2 linked regions of the Sus scrofa genome follow. The protein of the gene in region 1 purifies or fractionates together with the protein of each later gene. This does not show direct contact. Links are inferred from orthologs where the notes say so. Each region holds a gene or a part of one and is shown on either strand. Other genes may lie near its edges. The genes, in order: KDM5B and PAX9.

Region 1 (3,829 bases):
CTCAGGCCGGCAGCTGCAGCACCAGTTAGACCCTTAGCCTGGGAACCTCCATATGCCACGGGTGCAAAAGACAAGAGACAAAAAAACAAAAAAGAACTTTGTATACTCAGATCAAAATGCCAAACATAAAGGCCTACCTTGTCCAGAGGGGTTGCCCTAGTCACGAATGAAGTAGGTTAACTTGCCCGCATTTGACAGGTCCACATATTTTCTTTTCTTTTCTTTTTTTAAATTTTATTTTGTCTTTTTAGGGGTACACTTGGGGCACATGGAAGTTCTCAGGCTAGGGGTCAAATTGTAACTGCAGCCATTGGCCTACACCACAGCTACAGCAATGCTAGATCCTTAACCCACTGAGCAGGAGGACCACGGATCGAACCCTTATCCTCATGGATTCTAGTTGGGTGTGTTACCATTGAGCCGCAACAGGAGCTCCGATCAACACATTTTAAGTCACACAGTCTCTATTTTGGTGAGGCTCTTAAAAAATTTAAAACAAGGAGTTCCTGCTGTGGCACAATGGAATAATCAGTGGGATCTTGGGAGCGCTGAGATGAGGGGTTTTTTTGTTTGTTTTTTTGTTCGTTTTGGTTTTTTTTTTGTCTTTTTGCCATTTCTTGGGCCGCTCTCGCGGCATATGAAGGTTCCCAGGCTAGGGGTCAAATCGGAGCCATAGCTGCTGGCCTACACCAGAGCCACAGCAATGCAGGATCCGAGCCGCATCTGCCATCTACACTACAGCTCATGGCAATGCCGGATCCTTAACCCACTGAGCAACGCCAGGGATCGAACCTGCAACCTCATGGTACCTAGTCGGATTCATTAACCACTGAGCCACGATGGGAACTCCAAGATGAAGGTTTGACCTCAGGCCCAGCACAGTGGGTTAAGGATTCAGCATTGCCACATCTGTGGCTTTAGGTGGTGACTGGCTCGGATCTGATCCCTGGCCCAAGAACTCCATATGCCATAGGGTGGCCAAAACAAAACTCAGCTATGCATGTTTGTTTTGGGAGCTGGTGGGTTGTATTATGCTTTGTAGAGCTCTAAAGTACACTTTATTCTAGGGAGTAATTGATTCAGAAAGAATGGACTTTGAGCTGTTGCCAGATGACGAGCGTCAGTGTGTAAAATGCAAAACTACTTGCTTCATGTCTGCCATCTCCTGTTCTTGTAAACCTGGCCTGCTTGTTTGCCTGCATCATGTAAAAGAATTATGTTCCTGTCCTCCTTATAAATATAAACTGCGGTGAGTAAGAAAAATGATTTTTTTTCTATGAAAACAAAATTTTTTGGGGGGGTATTTTATTATTATTATTTTTTGTCTTTTTGCCTTTTCTAGGGCCACACCGGGGCACATGGAGGTTCCCAGACTAGGGGTCTAATTGGAGCTGTTGCTGCCGGCCTACACCAGAGCCACAGCAACATGGGATCCGAGCTGCGTCTGCGACCTACACCACATCTCACGGCCATGCCGGATCCTTAACCTACTGAGCAAGGCCAGGGATTGAACCCAAAACCTCATGGTTCCTAGTTGGATTCATTAACCACTGTGCCATGACGGGAACTCCTGAAAACACTAAATTCTTAATAAAGGCTCAGTGACATTGAGAATGAAATGTCTGATTTCCTCCAAACCCACATATCTCAAAGCTAAGTCTACTCTTCTGTTTCCAGGTATAGATACACTCTAGATGACCTCTATCCCATGATGAATGCATTGAAGCTTCGAGCTGAATCTTACAATGAATGGGCCTTGAATGTGAATGAAGCTTTGGAGGCAAAGATCAATAAAAAGAAAAGTATGTAATATATAGAAAGTGTGGTTTGGTGATTGGCACATTGGGACTGATGATCATATAGCCAACCAAAAGTTAGCAAACCAGTTCCTTGAAATTGTTCAGCCAGATTCAGAGTGTTAGCAGAGGTTTTAAAGTCAAGAGTGGATGAGGTGGATGCCCTTGTACAGGATGAGGTATTGTTATAAAACATAATAACCTTTATACCTCTTTGTCTCAGGAACAAAAAAGTATTTTACATTTTATATGGAACCTTAGTAAAGGTTTTTGTTCTGTTTGTTTGTTTTTTAAGGGCCACACCCACAGCATGTGGAGGTTCCCAGGGTAGCAGTCAGATTGCAGCCTACCCTCCAGCCACAGCAAAACCAGATCTGAGCCTCGTCTGCCACCTACACCACAGCTCAGGGAAACACCGGATCCTTAACCCACTGATGGAGGCCGGGGATCAAACCTGTGTCCTCATGACTATTAGTCAGATTTGCTTCTGCTGAGCCACAACGGGAACTCCTTTTTGTTTCTTAAAATAGATCTCATCACAAAGGCAGCATGCCATTAAGAGTTTATGAAATGCTGGTTTATTACTGTACTTCATTCTAATCAAGGTCAAAGTCTGTTTCTTGTTACTACCTTTCAAAGTCACTGCTTGCCTTCCCATTTCTTTCCACAAAGTATTTTCATTTGCTTTCCTTTCTGTGGCTTTCTCATTTAGGAGAGGGTGCAGTATCAGTGGCTCTGAGCCTACTAGTTCCCTGCCAGTGGCAGAGTAAAATGCAGGAGGAAGAAGTGGTTCCAGCCACACTAAGATCTGGATTTGATCTGTTTTGACAAGGTATAACCTTGTCAAAGGTTATACCCTAAGTTTCAGTATCGTAACCAGGAGATTGACATCGGTATAATCCATCAGCCGTATTTAGTCTAGGCACTTTTTAAAGCACTCCATCCTCAGTACACCTCCCCCATCAAATGAACACATTTATTAAAGAGGTGGAATATTGCAAATATCTATAGATAAGAACTGATATTTGCAAACCCCTCCCCCCTGTATTTCATACATAATGATCACAAAAACGGGGACCTTTTCTTTATCCCTAGGCCTTGTCAGCTTTAAGGCTTTGATTGAAGAATCTGAGATGAAGAAATTCCCAGACAACGATCTTTTACGTCACCTCCGCTTAGTCACACAGGATGCTGAGAAGTGTGCCTCTGTCGCACAGCAGCTGCTTAACGGCAAAAGGCAGACGAGGTGGGTACTGCACGGACTGGTTAGGGCTCTCCCACAGCCCAGACTGGGAAGGGTGGGTGTGTTCTCACTTGGCTTCTTGGGCCTTTGTCTCTAGATACCGATCTGGGGGAGGGAAATCCCACAACCAGCTGACGGTGAATGAGCTCCGGCAGTTTGTGACACAGCTGTATGCTCTTCCCTGTGTTCTTAGCCAGACTCCACTGCTGAAGGTAACTGGATGGGAGGTGCTGCTGCTTTATGTTTTGTAAATAAGCTCACTTATCATTTTGGGTGGTTAATTTGTACATTATTGGCAAATGTTTCTAATAACATATTGAGTGGTATGCGTGTATAAAGAGATTATAACATGCGTGCAGAGGAGAAAGTCAGAAATTTTTACCTGGAAATTGACCACCAGCTACTCCTCACAGTTGGTATGTCTGTTATAGTCACTTGTTTTAGCTGTCAATTGGCTTATGTATTATGCTGTTTACCCGTATTGTTGCTAAAATCAAGTGAGATGGAAGAGGGTCATGTAGAATATGCATTGACAATTCTAAGCATATAAGAAGCCAGTTACAGAAATTACTGTTTTGATGCAACAATCTGTTCTTTTAGGATCTCTTGAATCGTGTAGAAGATTTCCAACAGCATAGCCAGAAATTACTCTCTGAGGAGATGCCCAGTGCTGCTGAGCTGCAAGATTTGCTAGATGTCAGCTTTGAGTTTGATGTTGAGCTTCCACAACTTGCTGAGATGCGTACCCGTCTGGAGCAGGCCCATTGGCTGGAAGAGGTGCAGCAAGCTT
Region 2 (2,888 bases), on another chromosome or scaffold:
GTGATGTGCAATGGCTTCTTTGTTAAAAAATACAGCATCACCCTTTGTAACATTTTAATTTCAATTGAACATTGTACTGATTATATATTACCTTGTAATTATTATAAACTCAATAGGTTATAATGAGCTACAATTTTATCAATATGATAATTCAGTTTATTATTCGACAAAATATGACGGAAATTTCTTGGATCTGGGACAGGTTTAAGAAACCTGTTTCCTTTCCCCTTCCCTATTTTTTAAAGAACAAGCACTCAAAGAAAATGAGGTGTGTGTTCTTGTAGACCAACTACACAAAGTTAACACTACTTTTATTTTTGTTTTGTTGGAAATCCACAAGCAGTGTTAAATCACATACATATATATATTCTAACTCCATACATTACCAATTGAGAAAATAATTTTTGAGACCCCCCCACCCCCTGCATTCTCATAGACATGCAAAGGAAAATAATAACCAAATGAATTAAACTAGAAAACAATTTCTTCGTTGCAACTGAATTGGAAAAAGTATCTAACATATGTCTGCTTTTCTTACCTCTAAGCATTAAATCTGTTTTACTAATAGTATTTCTATTGTTTACATTATACTTCCATTAGGAAGTATATGTGATATGTTTATTTATTCATATCACTACTAGGAAACAGGAATGTCTTTTATTTCTAAACAAGAAATTGAGGAAGAGAAAATTAAGTTATTTGAAGAAAGGCGCTGAGTATTCACAACAGAATCAGGATTAGAAATCAGGGTGTTTTGGTGTTGTTAATAGTAACAATACCAACTATAATTTATTGGAATGCGAGAGAGCACTGGCTTCTAGGCAGATTTGCCTGCCAGAGTTGCTGCATCTTATTTGCAAACTAAGATATTACATTTAAATTCATTTAAAGAGATTTATCCATGTGGCTCCTAAAAATTTACATCACAGGGCCCTAAAACTTTGCAAGCAAGTTTTCTAACCTCAAAACCATGCATATGCAATTCCTTAGTATTCTGATAGACAGTTTCCTCTTTGACAAAATAGCTCTGGAGAAAACACCCCCATTTTCATTAAAAAAAAAAAAACTTACCAGACAAACTCCCTGATTTTGCATGTCCTTTGTCCAACAGGCATTTTCAACATGATGTCTAAGATGTCTAAAAATAGACATCATGTTTTATTTGACAAAGGTCATGCTCATTTTGAGTTTCTAAAGTGACAGCCCACACTCTGTGCCCTTCTTTACTGGAAATGAAAGCTACACCAACCAGGCCCTTCTCAACAAAAGAGCCAAACAAAACTGAAGTGTGGCAAGGTTAACAAAGGCAGAAAGATAGCTAAATGGATTCTAAGAGTATTTAGTCACCATTAATTCTTTCCTCACTTTACATTTCCTTCCATAGGCCAAACAGCAATGCAAACACTGAATTTTGTTTGTAGCCTCCTAAAAAAACCTCTGTGGAACGAATATGTTTTAAGTAGCAAGACTGTGAATGCGTTTAGAATATAGACAAATTATTTTTTAAAAATTGGAAAGCAGAGTCAGAATATTGTTAGTTCCTCCTCAGAACTCACATTCTGCCTCTTTCTAAGAACTCGTGAAATGTCAACCACTATAACGTGATTATTCTCACCTCTTCTCTTTTCCTACTCCTCTTAGGCACCAAATGGTCTCCCAGCTGTAAGCAGTTTTGTGTCAGCATCCAGCATGGCTCCTTATCCCACCCCGGCCCAAGTGTCGCCTTACATGACCTACAGTGCTGCTCCTTCTGGTTATGTTGCTGGACATGGGTGGCAACATGCCAGTGGCACCCCACTCTCCCCCCACAACTGTGACATTCCCGCGTCGCTGGCGTTCAAGGGAATGCAGGCAGCCCGAGAAGGTAGCCACTCTGTCACGGCTTCCGCACTCTGATGGGAAATTCCGTCTGCTGCAGCTGCACCCGAGTCCCCCCTTCTCCGCTCACCCTCCCCCTCTTCCCTGGTCTCGGATCCCACCCCTCTGCCCTCCAACCCTCCTGCCTCAAGAGCTGGCTTTACGGACTCACATCCTTTGTGCTGATGACACTTAAATATTTCTTGCCATAACTTCTCTCTCACAGAAAACCTGACACGACTTTAGGATTTGAAAACAAAAGCAATGTTAAGGATTGAATGAGACATTTGTATTGCCCACACACTGTTCTAACGTAGTGAAGAAACCTGCACCCCTCAAAGGGCTTAAGGAACTTTTAAAACGAGTCTTTGGTAAAACCACACGTGTATATTTATTCTAAATCAACCTGAACTTCTGAAACGTGCAATTGTTGAGATTCTGCAAAATCAATAAAATATGTATAGAAAAAAAGTTATGCTACACCCTCTAATCAAAAAGCTTAACAAAATAAGCTGTAATCCATTACTAGGAAACCAATCAATAACTCATTTTTTGAGTGATCCTTTGTTTATTTTTAACAGGTGACCTATTTTGTTGGAAAATACATGTATAACTGAAGCAATATCTGAATTTAGCTCCTCCTGGTGTTTTGATTGGTTCCAAATACAATAATGTTTATATTTTCTATTAGTTTGTAAATATGGACTCTGGATGGTGCATTTGCGTTTTCATTCCATGGGATATCCCCCCCCCCCCCCCGCCCCTGTCTATTTTTTTCCTTTCTTTTTGCAAAGGTGACTTTCTGGCAACGTCTTTGTCTCTGTTTGGTGGTGGGCTGCTCAGGCCCCTGGACCTGGACTTGCCCCAGATTTTGTGTATGCAGTGAAGGCTTCAACATCGCATGAAGGACATTTTCTTTCTACAGCAGAGGACTCAAAGCAGATAAAACAAGCCAGTCTCCCATTTTGTATCCCAATCAAACAACACACATGCCAAGCATAGAAAGACAAGAGGGTGGAAAATTACTGAAC

Evidence for each region.
Region 2: the proteins of KDM5B (region 1) and PAX9 purify together in Homo sapiens (affinity purification with western blotting, with the first as the bait; 3 studies listed by BioGRID). This does not show direct contact. The link is inferred for Sus scrofa from reciprocal best matches to the Homo sapiens genes KDM5B and PAX9.

What each region holds. Positions count from the first base shown.
Region 1 is NC_010452.4:24,758,482-24,762,310, reverse strand, and holds part of KDM5B (lysine-specific demethylase 5B), read left to right. Parts: intron 1-1,067; coding exon 1,068-1,249; intron 1,250-1,677; coding exon 1,678-1,802; intron 1,803-2,891; coding exon 2,892-3,042; intron 3,043-3,136; coding exon 3,137-3,251; intron 3,252-3,639; coding exon 3,640-3,829. UniProt on the Homo sapiens protein: Histone demethylase that demethylates 'Lys-4' of histone H3, thereby playing a central role in histone code. Does not demethylate histone H3 'Lys-9' or H3 'Lys-27'. Demethylates trimethylated, dimethylated and monomethylated H3 'Lys-4'.
Region 2 is NC_010449.5:63,326,654-63,329,541, reverse strand, and holds part of PAX9 (paired box protein Pax-9), read left to right. Parts: intron 1-1,641; coding exon 1,642-1,896; 3' UTR 1,897-2,888. UniProt on the Homo sapiens protein: Transcription factor required for normal development of thymus, parathyroid glands, ultimobranchial bodies, teeth, skeletal elements of skull and larynx as well as distal limbs.